Linked DNA regions of Alligator mississippiensis. The protein of the gene in region 1 interacts with the protein of each later gene in a biochemical or structural test. Links are inferred from orthologs where the notes say so. Each region holds a gene or a part of one and is shown in the gene's direction. Other genes may lie near its edges.

The links. The genes of interacting proteins can lie anywhere in the genome.
Region 2: the proteins of FRMPD4 (region 1) and DLG3 interact in a test that uses a peptide from one of them, tested with the Homo sapiens proteins (2 studies listed by IntAct, with this or other methods). The link is inferred for Alligator mississippiensis from reciprocal best matches to the Homo sapiens genes FRMPD4 and DLG3.

The regions. Positions count from the first base shown.
Region 1 is NC_081824.1:326,036,217-326,043,719, reverse strand, and holds the start of FRMPD4 (FERM and PDZ domain-containing protein 4), read left to right. Parts: upstream 1-4,492; 5' UTR 4,493-4,801; coding exon 4,802-4,842; intron 4,843-7,503. UniProt on the Homo sapiens protein: Positive regulator of dendritic spine morphogenesis and density. Required for the maintenance of excitatory synaptic transmission. Binds phosphatidylinositol 4,5-bisphosphate.
Region 2 is NC_081831.1:82,909,429-82,917,099, forward strand, and holds the start of DLG3 (disks large homolog 3), read left to right. Parts: upstream 1-4,659; 5' UTR 4,660-4,822; coding exon 4,823-5,012; intron 5,013-5,386; coding exon 5,387-5,518; intron 5,519-7,671. UniProt on the Homo sapiens protein: Required for learning most likely through its role in synaptic plasticity following NMDA receptor signaling.

The DNA.
Region 1 (7,503 bases):
CAGCTCCACAAATGAAAGCCCTGTATGAAATTCTCTGTGGACAGAAGGGAATAACCAAACCTGGGTATTTGGCTCAAAACATGATAGGAAGCATGAATTTTAAGAGGGGTTTTGGGATTTGATGTAACTTCCCTGAGATTTTGTATTTGATGTCCAACAAAACCAGGCACTATAATTATGCCCCTCAAGTCTCAGGATTTCTGTCATATTGCTATGTCATAACATGTCTAAGATTTTTAATTAATTAAAAAAAGAAGAAAATTCAATTGGATAAAATGAGATCTAAGTAGCATGTGACTTGTGACTTAGGTGACCCTGCTTGGCACATGAGCCAGCAATAAAACGTAATGTAAATGTTTTGGTCAGTGTGCCATATATATAATGTTATTACAAAAATACATTAATTATAGACTTTCTGTATGACTGTCTCTGTTTCTTTTGGTTTCTGTCCTAACCATATCTGCCATAACATATATGGTGTGACTCAGCCACACCTTGTTCCTGCTGATCTGTTCTCCCACCCTGTTCTTCCACCCCACCAGGAGGAGTAAGCCGTGTTACAGGTGGGATGAACCCCAGCATGTAGGTATAGGAAGAAACCAGATGAATGTGTGAGGGTAGGATGTGGCACTTGCTACTTGTGTTGAGGAGTTAGAAAAGGGGTGAATGGGGGAGCTAGGGTGAACATGCCCTGACTGTCACAGTGTATAGTAACAGCCAGAAAGCTAAGAAATCTTTTGCAAAAATCTCAGATCTACAAAATCAGTCCTGTTCAACACTTAGGAAAACAGGACTGAAAGTGAAATCTGGGGTCATTGAATCCAATCCCATGCTATCACAAGGAACCACATCATCTGTAATACCTCTCATAAACTGTTCAAGCTCCATGTTAAAATTAGTTAGGTCTCCCCCCAGCCCCAGCCCACCAAGTTCTCCCAGCAGAAGGCTGTACTGGTTGGATAGCTAGAAATCTTCTTCAGGTTCCAGGCCAATCTGATTCAGGGCCAGTTCAAACCCATTTGATCTTTGTACCAATATTTTTTCTTTAAATAGCTCTTCTCACTCGCTGGTCTTTACTCTCCCCGTGCATTTAAGAGATCAATCCAATCCCCTCTAAATCTTCATTTTGTTATCTTAAATAATAATACAACTTCTTGTGGTCTCATTATGTAAGGTTCTCTATTCTTCTGCTCATTCAGTATCACTTCTCTGTTCATGTTCCAATTCCAATTTACCTTTCTTGTATAAGAGTGATCAGTTGTACACAGCATGGCAGATGACATCTTACCAACGTCTTGTACACTGGCATTAGTATTTCCTCATTTCCTCTGTCTCTCCTCAGTATATTTTATTTGATATGTCCTAGGATTTGCTTTCCCTTCCCCTCCCCCCCCCCCAACCCTGTGGCTGCATCACACTACGATAGCTCATAGTTGTTCTGTGAAACTAATGTACCCCAGAATTTCTCATCCTGTTTCTTACTGATGAGCTCTCAGGTAACAGCAGAAATTCTTAGTTCCTAAGTGCGTGTTCTTACACTCTGTATTACTGATTTTTTTCCCATTTCTTTTACTCTACTCATCAAGACCATTCAGTTGCAAATACTGTTCTAATCATCCTCCATGTTGACCAGGCTTCCCAATATTGTACTTACTCCTACTACCCATGTAAGAGAGGTTATTCATCTGGTTAGAGGTGTAGCCCTTTTTTAGAACCCCCCCCTTCCCCAACACACACACACACACACACACACACACACACACACACACACACACACCCCTATATCTTGGGATATAAATTCAAGAAAGTTTTTTGCAACTTTGATGAAAATAAACAAATATAACAATGTGTTGCTGCATAGCAAGGTTCTTGTCAGCTGATATGACATCCTGACTAGTAGGTTAATCTACCATCTCCCCTGATATACCATACCTATATCCTGGTTCTTCACTAAAGGAGCATGGGACTCCTGAAAACATGATAGGTCTCTTTCAGTCTGATTCTTCCTCTTTCTGCATGGTTTGTGGTTTTACTAGATTTGTTTTCTCGTTTCCCTATAATACCTTTTTGTGTTGGGCCTTAGATTGTGAAATAGTTGAGCCTGGTTTGATATTTTGGCCCTGATCCTGGATACACACAAATGCACACACAAACACGTGGAGTTTCAGTAAACCCTGCAGGATATTTGTTCATAGTACCTGATCTCTTTTTTGCCAGTGCACTGGAAGCTATGTAAATAAACAATAGCTTTATAAATGAACCCATTCCTAACCAGCTAAAATTGCATTACCTTTGTAACATTTGCCAATCCATACAGTGGTGGGAACAACAGCTGCCCATTCCACTATTGTTTTTTAAAGTTTAGCAGAATAATAAGTTAATGGATGTGGCTGGTGGGAAACAAATAAATATTTTGATAGGCTCAGCAAACACTACTTCATTGGGGATTTTAGATTGCACAGCTCCCACATGCAACCAGGTAGATCTGTAAACCTTCTGAAGTGAGTTGTTCAGTCTTCTCCCTCTGTAAACAGACTATCAATCAGTCTTTGTTGTTACTGGTTTAAAGAAAAGAATAGTTTGAAGCAGGTTCCTAGGGAGTCTCTGTACATCCTGTTCCTTTTTCTGTGCTGTTACCAGTGAAGGTTTGGGATTAAAACACACACACACATCATTTTAATCCCCAACTTTATACCTATTTTATATATATATTTTAATCCCCAATTTTTAATCCCCAACTATACATATGTGCACAAATGTAGGTGCACACACACACATAATCTATGTTTCTGTGTGTGTGTGTGTGTGTGTGTGTGTGTGTAGACAACATTCTTTGGGTAAATCTTTTATTAGACCATATAAAATAGTTGGAAAAATTATTTGCAAGCTTTGAGTAGAAACAGTCAGGCTGAGGAAGCGTCTACAGTCGGTCTGTGCTCATCCTGGATGGAATAGAAAAGAAATCAGAGGCCAGTATTCATGCAAGAAAGCCAGTCAGTGAAAATGTAGATTGAAGTCAGTTGGTGAGAGACAGGTAGGAGACTAGGAGAAGGGGAATGTAGACCTGGTGTGATAAGAATATAGCTGGTAAATAGTAGAGCAGTTACTTGGGGTGTCAAATGTTAGGCAGGTTATAAATCCAATGTCTATATTTAGTCCATAATTTTTTGTATCCAGTAAACTGATGAAGTGAAGTTTGTAGGCTCGTCTGCAAAAGGTGTCTTGTAAATTCCCTTTGAGGATTGTAAATTCCCTGAGAGACTGGAGAGAGTGATTTTCTTGTGAGAAACGTGCCCCCACAGGTAACTGGGTGTTCTTGTCTTCGATAGGTTCTTGGTGTGTGTTCATTCTGGTACGCACTTGTTGTTTGGTTTCTCCGACATATTTTCCATCACGGCATTTGGTGCACTGGATCCACTCATCCAGTGCACCAAATGCCCTGATGGAAAATATGCAGGAGAAATGAAACAACTGTGTACCAGAATGAACGTGCATCAAAAATCTATGAAAGACAAGAACCTTGTCTGCCCATGTCCTTAGGCTGGCATGACTACAACCTATACCCCTGATATATGTAGGTATGTATGTGTGTATGTGTATATACATATATATGCATACATACAAATATATACATATATGCATACACATATATGTCCATGTACATATACAAACAAGGTTATTTGGGTAAATGTGATATCTTTTATTAGACCCACTGAAGAGTTAGAAAATTTGTTCTTTACAGGCTTTTGGGCACAAACACCCTTCTTTAGGCATAGGGAGAGTCTCCTGGTGCTTGTCTACTCACTCTCTCACACATATACACATATACACACAGTGTGCAGCTCTAGGGTCGCCCTTAGCCCTCAGCTGGCTCATTCACAACCCTTCACTTCACCTGTGGGAATGATGATCCTCAACTGTGAGGAATTGCCCACGGTGACATGTATACATTTATACATTTAATAAATACATATGATATACACATATGCATACACATCCTCACACACACACATATATAAATACACATCCACAACCCATCTGCACACATATGCGTATACACTCATCGTTGCACATATGTACACATACACATATATACATCCACACACACATCCACATACGCTCGCCCACACATATGTACACATACACACCCACACATCCACACCCATCTGCGCGTGCACACACCCCCACACACGTACGCACCTCCACACCTATTCATATAGGCACATCCCCACAGCCATCTGTACACACATCCATCCCGATGTAACCCGTGCACACATCCATCTCTCCCCGTCCACATGCCCACACACAACACAGATACACCGATACGTATATAGACGCCCCCCACCCCCGGGCTGTGCGCTGCCCCGGTCCCCGGCGCCGCCTGTTGCGCTCCCCGGGCCGGCGCGCGGCGGCGGCGGCAGCCTGGAGAAGAGGCTGGCCGCGGCGCTGGGGCCCGGGCGGGCAGCAAAGGCCAGGCAGCGGGCGGCGGGTGCCAGCCCCGAGGCGCTCCCGCAGCAGAGGGCCCTTCCCCGGCAGAGGGGGCTGCGGCGGCGCTGCCAGGCGGGCCGGCTCCGCGGCGGGTGCTGCCCGGGCTCGCTCCGCGCCAGAGGCGGGAGCCGCGGACCTGCCGCCGCTCGGGCCGGGCCGGGCCGGGCCGGCCAGGAGCGGCGATGCCGGGCGCCCCGCGCGCCGCTGCCGGAGGAGGAGCAGCCGCCGCGGGCGCCACCTCCCCCCGCCCCGCCGTGGAGCAGCCGCGGCGGCGGGAGTGAGGAGGAAGCGGGGCCGCTCGCCGGCTGCATGGATGGACGTGTTCGGCTTTGTGCGGCTCGCCAAGCTCCCCGGGTAGGCGCCCGGCGGCGGCGGGGGGCTGGAGGGGGCAGCCCCTGGGGAGGGAGGCGGCCCCCGGCTCGGGCTTGGCGCCGGTGGCTCCTCTGGCGGGGCGGGGGTGCGGGGAGCGGGGAACCAGCAGCCTCTGCCTGCCAGCGCGCGTGGAGAGCGGCCAGGCGGGCTCCCGAGGTGCCTTCCAGCCCTCACCCCGTGCGGGGCAGGGCAGGGCAGGGCAGGGCAGGGCAGGGCAGGGCCGGCCCCTTGGCTCCCCGCTAGAGCAGGTGGCGGTGCTGGGGACCAGCCGCCTCTGGTGCTAGCGAGCGTGGAGAGCGGGCCAGGTGAGCGTCGGAGGTCCCTTCCAGCCAGCAACCCCAATGCCGGCCAAGGCCAGCTCCTTTACTCCCCACTAGTGCAGGTGGCGGTGCTGGGGACCAGCCGCCTCTGAGTGTCAGGGAGTGTGGAGAGTGGGCTACGTGGGCTCCTGAGGTCCCTCAGCCCCAGTGGAGGGCAGGGCCAGCCCCTTGGCTCCCCACTAGTGCAGGTGGCAATGCTGGGGGGGGCTGGGAAACCAGCCGCTTCTGTGAGTCAGTGAGCATTGAGAGCAGGCTAGCTGGGCTCCTGAGGTTCCTTCTAGATATCAGACCTAGTGCAGGGCAGGGCCAGCCCCTTTTCTTTCCACTCTGGGGAACCAGCTGCCTGAGTGTCAGGGAGCATGGAGAGGGCTAGATGGGCTCCTGAGGTCCCTTCCAGCCCTCAGCCCCAGTGCCAGGCAGGGCCATCCCCTCTGATCCCCACTAGTGCAGGTGGCACCCTGTGTGTTGGGGGTCCAGGGGAGCTGGGATATCAGCTTAAAAGCCAGCGAGCGTGAAGAGCAGGCTAGGTGGGCTCCTGAGGTCCCTTCCAGACCTCAGGTGCTGGGGTTTCATGAGTGAAGGAAGTCTCAGGTTGGCACACAGGGCTGGGCTCTTTCAGCTGTCCAGAGAAACTGCTCTCTCTCCTCCTGGCACCTGAAGGCTGGGCTTTAGGTGTGGGTGAAAAATGCTGGCAGAGGGTGCAGAGGCCCCATTGCAGGCTACCCTCCTGGGGCTTTGTTACTGGGTAACTGTGGGCAGATTGGCCCCTGATTGTCTGCACATTAACACCTTGAAGTGGTTTAAGCACTCTTTATGTGGCAAAAAGTTATGCCACTCCAGGGCAGGAATCTCCATCCTTGGAGTTTTTAGGACCTGGCTAGACAAAGCCGTGGCTGGGATGATCTAGTTGGGGATGGTTCTGCTGTGAGCAGGGGGTTGGATTAGGTGACCTTCCAACCCTTGTTTTCTGTGCTTCTATGATTGTGTCTGATCTGCACCACCGCGCTCCTTTTCCACTAAGGTGTGGCCACTTCCCCAAGATGTGCTGCCCAAGTTGGAGCCCTCCAGTATCCCAGGTTCTCTCACATCCCACCTAGTAGAGCAGGGAGAGAAGCCTGCCATGGGTCACCAGCTCTCCAGTGGCAACTCACAGCGACAGCTCCCAGTCCTGCCCCTGCTCACCAGGCCCCTAGGGACAAGTTACAGCTGTCCAGGTCAGGGGTAGTCAAAGGTTTCTAGACTAAGGATGTGGCTGCTCCAAACTCCAAGCTAGCACTATCACTGATCAGCATTTGTGCAGCGCACAGTGTAAGGTGTAACAAGGCCCCAAACCAGCTGAATTTCCTCAGTGAAGAGGTTTAAAAATAAGAAGCAATACCATTTTTTTATCTTCCAGTAACACAGGAAATCAGCTTCTTAGTGAGGCAGTAGAAAAGTTCTTTAGCTGCTGGATTTTTCTGCTTTTTTTTTCATGTTGATAATCTTCCTAAAGGATTTAGCTTTCATTACAGTAGCTAGGGGCATTTTGCATTTCCCTGTTTTAGTGGTACAGCAGAGAGATGGCTGGCTTTTGAGCCTTTCTTACTGGAAAGGCATGACATGTGGTAGGGGGGAAGGGGAGAGGCTTGCTACAGAACTACTGTCCATCTCGGATTTTGATACATTGCTTTTCAGAAGGACACTTTTTTCCTCCCAAAACAAATGTTACTGGGGTGGCAGCTGAAAAAAATTCTACAGGTGGGCTGGCCGAAACAGCATCTGCTTTAGTCTCTTCCTCCCATTGCTGTCGGGATTTCAGCTTGTCTGGTGACAATGCTGCTGTAGAACAGCCCCTATGGGCCTGAGCACATGTTTGCTTAATTCTGTTCAGAACAAATTTTGGTGTCATGATGCCTAAACCATGAAGAACTAAGTCTTCTCTGCTCTCATTCCCAGTATTGCTACCTCTGGGGGAGCTGCAGTGGCAGGGAAATAGGGTGGGTAATGCCCTGATGTAGATAAGCCTTTGAAGAGCAGGTCATGTGGCATGATCTTTGTTTTAAGATGTATCAAATTATTTGCTTCCCATGTTTGTTTAGGAACTGTAGTTGAAAAATCCCTTGTGTTTAGGAATTGTTACACTTGAGCTAGAACCGAGTGTAGGGCAGAGAATTTAGGGAGGTTAAGGGGACTACGCTAAGGGTCATTACATTAATGTTAAGAGTTTAGAAGTCAGGTTGCTTTCTGACAACATTTTTTTTTGCCATCTCCTATGTTTAGTTGGCTAACAGCGTTCTTAAAGAAATGGTCTGCTCTGCACAGATGCAGCTACTCGTCATATCTC
Region 2 (7,671 bases), on another chromosome or scaffold:
AGGGGCAATGCTCCTCTCCCTTGCCGGTTGAGAGCGCTCCTGCCCTTCCTGCGCTAGGAGCGGATGAGCTTGATGTTTTTGCTTTGTGCTGCCTGGGGCCGGTGGAGGTCTGGGAGGGCCTGGCGGGGCAGCAGCAGGGGACTGGTGAAGCAGGACAGGGACCGAATCCGGTGCTGAGCAGAGGGCTCCTGTCTCGCTTGCTGTCTTGTCCCCGGTAGAGGCCAAGACCACAACTGTCGTCAGCCCAGCGCCAGCAGCTAGATCCTCCCCGGTGCCCTGGGCTGGCAGGGACCGTCTCTCCTGTGTAGGCAGGACGGCGGGCCCGGGGGCAGTGACCCCGTCCTGCTGCTGGGGCAAGGGGCTGTGCGGGGGAACGACGAGGAAGCAGTGTTACTTGCCCATGATTGCTTTGCTGCAGGGCCTTTGAGCCGGGAGTCTATTTTACTTGTTCTTAACTATTTATGTTAATAAATAGACCTGAGCTGGACCAAGAAACCTTGCTGCTGCATGTGTCTGAGGGCTTCTGTTCTGGCAAGGGGAAGCTGGGCTCAGGCGCTGGCTTTTGTCTGCTTGCTGGGGAAGGACAGGCACTACGCAGAGGACAGGGGAGGAAAAGTAGAGTAACTGCAGTGGGAGATCCCTGCCTTGGCACAGAGTTACTGGGCCTCCGGTCCGGCCTCCTGCTCATTCTCCTGCCTGTCAGCTGGCTCACATAGCCTCCCTGCCTTGCAGCGTGCTTGGAGAGGGTCTGAAAGCCTGTCTTGAGGGGGAAGAGGTTACTGACTCAGTGTGAAAGGGCTCTGGGGCAGCCTAGCCCAGCAGGGTTTGTACAGCGGGGCTGGCACGCACGTGCTTGCACTCATGGCTGGGCTCTAGCTGCATCCACACCTGGGCATGCGGGCAGAGACCTGGATGGGGGCTGCCGGCTCTCTGCACTATGGGTCTGTGCTGGGCCGGAGCTTGTTTCCTACCCTTGGAAACCACTTTCAAAAGAGACCTGGATTGTGTGAGCAAGGACTGGATGAAGTCCAAGTCGCCGGCCGGTGCTGTGCAACGTGCTCTGTCACTGCCACCTCGTGGCGCGGAGAAGGAAGGATGACTAACGTTAAAATGTCCTGGCTCGCTGGTGCCGAGGGTGAGAAAACTGGAGCCAGGCTACTCATGGAGATGACTCAGGGTTAAACATCTTCCCTTGTTTCAAGCCCTCAGTTTTACAGGATTGGGACCTCAAGGAGCCCTTGCCTCTGGGGCAAGGAGGAGGTACTTCTAGGAAAACCTCTCCCTTTCCTAACAAAAGAAGGGAAAGTGAAACTCTCCTGGCAGTAATGTTCCCATAACCTTTGCTGAACAGCTGCAGTAGCCAAGGTCTAAAAGCTCCAGTGTGGGCGAACAGGAGCCCTCCCAAGCACGTAGAGGTGAACGTGGCAGTGGGGCGAAGGTGCACGTATTGCACGTGCCGTGAGCTTGTGAACTGGCTTGTCCCTGGAGCAGATTCCTGGTGCCCCGAGCTCTTCCTGCTTTTGCTTGCAAGCTGTCCGTGGCCTGAGGTGCAGCTAGGGCTGTGGCCTGGCCCCGGCAGCGGGCACGATCGTCTCTCGTGTGGTCCCTCCTGTGACACACGTGGGAGAGGAAGAGCACCAGCCCTTCTTCGTGTCCTGCACCTCTTCAGCTCCTGCTACACCTTGCATATATGTGATTTAATGGGCAGTTGCACAATAAATTTAGACCTACCATAAGTGCAAAGTACTTATCTCACAATGATCTGGTTAATCTCACAATAAATTTAGGCTGGCTGCATGTGCAAAGTAACAATCACCCAATAAAACAACTCTCTAGCTGTAAAAAGAACCAACCTGCTATAAGATTAGTGCTTGAACATGTCACAACTCCAGAGCTGGTTTCCATCCAGCTTTTATTTGAACAGGTAGCAGGGTCCTTGTACCTCTAAGTAGTCTCCTTCAGCCTAGGGTTTGGCAGCTGTTTTGCTCTTGGATCTGCTTCCAGGGATGGATCTACACTGCCTTCTCTCGGGGTGACTTGACTTTGCTGCACCCGAGCCTTTCTTCCCCCGTCTCGGCCCTTGCAGACTGGCAGGGGTGCTCTGCCCTGGATGGAAACGAGAGCAAACTGGGGATGGAGCAAGAGGCCTCTTCCTAGGCACTTGGAGCCTTTGCGGTCGGAGACCCTGACCCTTGCAGCGTGGCTGAAACCCTCATCTCCCACTCAGCATCGCCTAGAGCCCAACACGCATCGCTCCCTGGGTACAAAGAAACGGGCGGCTGTACTGCGCTGCGAGGAGCTGAGGGCTGTGCTGTTCAGTTTTACACTAAAGCAAAAATGAATGCAGCTTGCTCAGGATGTGCACTCACCCCTAGCTGATCTATTAAGTTTTAAAAAAACACAACAAACTGGGTAAAAGTAGTGAAAATAAATGGTTTCATTAGCCGGATAGTCCTTCAAGTCAAAGCGGAGGATCCTAGGTGAGAGGGAGGGGACCTCAGGAGGCCCACCCGAGCCCTTCCCCCCCACAAAGCAGGACCAGCCCCAACTACATCACCCCAGCCACGGCTTCGTGTAGTCCAGTCTCAAAAACCTGCAAGGACGGAGACTGCACCACCTCTCTGGGGAGCCTGCTCCAGTGCTTCACCACCCTCCTCGTGAGAAAGTTTTCCCTAATATCCAACCTCAACTCCCCTTGCTGCAGCCTGAGCCCATTGCTCCTTGTCCTGCTATCTGCTCCCACTGAGACCAGCCCAGCTCCGTCCTCTTAGCAGCCCCCCTGCAGGGAGGTGACGGCTGCTATTCAATCCCCTCGGTCTTCTCTTCTGCAGACTCAACCCCGCAGCCACTCGCGCTGCCAGGTCCCCGGGGTGTCCACGCCGCTCTGCACAGCTGGCCAGCGGGCTCCCCGCCCGCCTGGCTCTTGCAGGAGGCTGCGAGCCCGGGCCCTTGCGGCTGCCCGAGCCGGAGGCCGGGTGCGGCCGGCGGGGCTGGGCTGGGCTGGGCGAGCGGAGAAGGGAAGGGGAGGGGAGGGGAGGGGAGGGAGGGCAGGGGAGGCGGCGGCGGCGGCGGCGGCGCGGGGCTGGGAGCGCTGCCCGCCCGGCCGCCGGCCGGAGGAGCGATGATTAGCAGGAGAGGTAAGGAAGGGAGTTAGGAAGGGAGGGAGGGAAGGAAGGGAGGGAAGCGCTGCGCAACAAGTGTGCCGGGCCGGGCTGCGGACGGCGCTGCGGGGCAAGCCCCGGCCCGGCCCGGCCCGGAGCGGGGTGTGCCCGCGGCTTGCACCCGGGGCATCGTGCCACCCCGTCCCCGCCGGCCCCCGCGCCCCGTGCCCGGCCCGGCCCCTCCCGGCAAAGTCCGGGCCAGACTCTCAAAGTGGGGCGTGGAGGAGGTGCTCCTGTCCGGGGTGCCCCGACCAGCCGGCCGGCCAGGCGTCTCCGTCTGCGCAGGGTTGGTGCCCAGCACCCTGCCTCTCGGCGCCGACGCCGCCTCGGTGCGCAGAGGCCAGGGGTGCAGGCTGAGCCCCCCGTGCTGGCGCCAGCCCAGGGCGGGTGGACAGGGGCATGCCGTGAGCTCTCCCACGAGCGTGGGCCCCTGGGCTCCCGTCCCTGGCTTCCCTGCTCCAGAGCAGGGGTGAAATGGGAGAGCTGCCCACCCTCCTGCCTCCGGCCCGGGGCACCGCTCGCCCGCCTCGCCCCGCAGCTGGTCCTTCCAGGCCAGACGAGCCTCCTGGGGCCGAGGCGGAGGCGCCCCTCGCTCATCTCCAGGGGGTCTGATGCGGGAGGTGTGCACTCCCAGGCAGGTGCAGGGCTCGGGCGTGTGGGGCGGCAGCACCCTGCGTGCGTGCCCCGAAGTTGCAGTTCTCAGCCTGGTTGTTGGTGAGCAGGGGTCTCCCCTCTCGCTGGGCTGAGCTGGCGGGCCGAGAAGTGGACCGGCTGCAGACGGAAGTCCCTTCGGGGCTGGGGGGCAGCACAGCAGCTTGCCCGGCCCCAGCCCGGGCCACGTCTGCTCCGTGAGCAGAGGGGGTTAGCATCCACCGCTGGCCCTCAGCTGGGATTTGCAGAAGCTCATGAATCCCTCCGGCATGCCAGGGAGCCCCAGGCTGTGCCTGGGTCAGGGCAAGCCCTGGCTGTGCAGGCTCAGAGGCAGGCTCCAAGTGTCTCTGTTTGTGCTAGGGATTATTCATGCCTCGCCAGCTTCCCTTTCCCCCTCTGGGCCGTGCACGATGCCCCGGTGCGGTTGGTAGACCACCTTTTTCGCTGGAGAAGGCGAAGCAGCCGCGAGGGGGGAGCACGGCCTGCAGGCAGCCGGTCGTGTCTGGGCTCTGCTGGGCCCAGCCCCCTGGCCGGGCTGCGGCCAGGCTCCCGGGGCCAGGCCGTCTCTTCTGCATTCGCTCCTAGGTCAGGCGAGGAGCCCCTGCCGCTCCCTGGACACGTCCCCTCCCCCTCTCACACAGGCACTCTTTGTTTTACGGAGGCCTCCTAACAAAGGGAAACGTTCCCTGATAGGGACCCGGGGCTCAAGGTCTGTGAGAACCGCTCCTCCTGTCTGAGATGCCCTTTGCAGCCAGGACAGGCTGCATCAGGGCTAACGGTGCCATGCCGGGGACGAGCCCAGAGAAGGGTCAAGCTCCCCAGGCTGGACGAGTCTCCGTTCAGTGCTGGGACCCCCACCCTGGCCTCCCCCACAACCACCGCTTTGCTGCACCCCTTCCTCCCAGTGCAGTCCTGCTCTTCCAGCCCGGGCCTCTCCTTCCACGTCCCTGCCCTGGCCTCTCCCAGCTGCCCCAGAAAGCAGCTCTTGCCCCAGGCTGCGCTCCTGGCTAATGAAGACCAGCTTGGGATGCAGGTCGTGGGTCCCGTGGGGACACCATTTGTCCGAGGGCGGTTCACACGGATTCCCCCTCCTCTGCTTCCAGGGGCAGCCGCAGCCCGCAGGTCGGAGGTGCTGGTGCAGCTCTGGGGTGGCTCTGTACCGTGGGTGGAGCCTGCAGTATAATGCTGGAGGTTTTGGGGGTAAGTGGGCATGTCCCTTGAGCTCTTGCCGTCAGGTTCAAAAGGAATCTGAAGAAACCGAATCTCGCTTTCTGTAGCCGGTGCCTGGCTGTGACTTCCAGATCTCGCTGCAAGGCAAAATGTGGCTGTGGCTGGGAGCCCAGTGACAGCAGGGACGTGGACGGAGGGGTGGAAGAGCCACTCCAGCTGTGAGCGGGGCAGAGTCTAATTGTCTCGTGTGCGTGGGCTCATAGCAGCGTCGGGTTGACGAGGACCCCGGAGGCATCTCGCTCGCCTCCTGCACGCAGGCCGAAGACGCCTACCTAGACCATCCCTGGCTGCTGTTTTTCTAGCGTTAGAGATTAAACTGTGCTTCTCCTGTCTTGCCTCCCTAGACACCCGGCGGGCCGTGGAAATCCTGACCAGATACCAAAGCACTCTGAAGTCTCCAGATGAGCAGCAGCTGAAGACCTCCATCGGGAAGGTCTCGCACATCTTCCGAAGCGAGCTCTTCCAGGCCCTGTTAGGTAAGCACCGTGCAGCATGTGCACCTTGCAGCCCGCTGCTGGGCAGCCTCTCCTGGCTTTGCCCAGAGCAGCCGTGCACCGGGTCTGGGGGAAGGATGCTGGGGGCGTGGGCTCTGATCTCCTGGTGTGAGGCAGACTCCTCAGTGAAATGTGGGCTAAGTAACCTACAGCAGGGCACATGTCAAGGCTTTTCCAGTATCTGCCCCGGCGGGGCAGGAGTGATCCTGTGATTCCACCTTTGTCTGCAAAGTCCTGGGCTGCCATGGGAGGGCTGCTGAGAGCAGCTCGTTGCCCTAAGAAGGCCCCGGGGGAGAAGTTGGAGCTGGGAGCCTAGTTCAAACCCCCCAACCCATTTGTGAGTACAGTGGTGCACGTACAGGTCAAAGCATGTGAGAGGTCAAAGCTTCGTTCCAGAGGTGGAGTCAACCGTGCAAGTCTGTCCGGCTGAAAGGCAGTGAAGGTCAGTTGCTAAGAGGCCCCATGGACCACGATCCCCAGAATCACAGACAAGGAGGGTGGCAGGGACCTCAGGAGGTCACATCCAGTCCAACCCCCTGCTCCAAGCAGGACCAGCCCCAACTGCATCATCCCAGCCAAGGCTTTGTCTAGCCAGGCATTAAAAACCTCCAAGGGTGGAGACCGCACCATCTCTCTGGGTAACCTGCTCCACTTTGCTACCCTCCTCATGAGGAAGTTTTTCCTAATATCCAACCTCAACTTCCCTTGCTGCAGCTTGAGCCCATAGCTCCTTGTCCTGCCATCTGCCCCCACTGAGACCAGTCCAGCTCCGTACTCTTTGCAGCCCCCCGGCAGGGAGCTGAAGGCAGCTGTCGAATCCCCCTCGGTCTTCTCTTCTGCAGAACTCTCTCCTGTCCAGATTCTGTGTTTGGACGGATGCCTCAGCCCTCCAGTTTTTACCATAGTGTTTTTTAAGGAGGATTTTTATCCTCTTGAGTGCCAAATTCAGTGCATATTAAGACTTCTTGAAGTTCTGTGCAGCACTGTGCAAACCCGATGATGCCTCGTGGTGCCATGTTTCAGCTGGACACTGTGCTGGCCATTCAAAGGGCATCTTAGCACTAGTGTACTGTGCAAAGCCTCATCCCGGACTCTCTGCACAAAGCCTGCTCATTCTGGCTGTTGTGCCTGTCCACTCTTATCATCCCTCAGGAAGTAATTTCTCCTGTTTGTTTCCTGTGGGACATAACATTTCACATACATATGGCTGGGGAAACACCTTTCAGTACAGCTCTGTCTATTGGGCACTTAGACCATGAAGCATCTGCAAGTAATACCAAGTGCTGAGGGGGAAATGCATGCTCAAGAAATAAACTTTGGAGCCAGCCCATCTTGCAAGTGAAAGGACACTTGCGTCGCTGTGTAGCTTTGTGTCATTTCTTGGAATTACCAAGTGCAGGCAGAGTTCTCCATTCATTGCCTGGGAGCTTTCTTCACCGGGTCAGACCAGGATGTGCTGTTTGTCCTGTGGGGCAGGGCTTTCCCCAGCATTGTTTACGTGCTAGAGATTTGCATTCGTTGCTCTTTGCTCCGGCTCCTCCTATTCCCACGAGAGGCGTACAGCACTCCTCGCATCTGGCACAACCTGGGCTTTCCCCTCTTCCAAAACACCCCCGTCACAGTGACGCTCCGGGAGCGTTGCTTTTCACTTTTCACTTGCCACGTCTCTGGTGGGCTGGGGTTTCTCCTGCCTGGCGCTCAGGGAGCAGGGCTGGCAGGGACCTTCGGAGACCACGTCTAACCCAACCCCTGCCTGAGGCAGGGTCAGCCCCACCCCATCTATGCAGTTAAATCTGTGGGGCTGTCGTCATTCATCCGTTAGCTCCCTGCTTGGCTGGGCCCGCTGCCTGCCCACCGCACGCTCGGTCGCAGGCGGCAGAGCTCTCCTTGCCGCAGCACACTGTGGCTGCTTCCTCCAGGTCCCTGCTTGTGCCTCGCAGACACCAAGAGGCATGAGCCGGGTCCAAAACTCATGCACCCGCTAGCGTGCAGGGCCCACTTGGTCCTGCCCTCCTCGGTCGGCCCGAGCCTGCCAGCACATAGCCCTCCGTGCCCCGTGCCCGGGGCCGGCAGGGCCGTGTGTCCTGGGGATGGCGAGGGGGACGGTTGGGGTGCGGGCTGCCTGCCATGGGAGC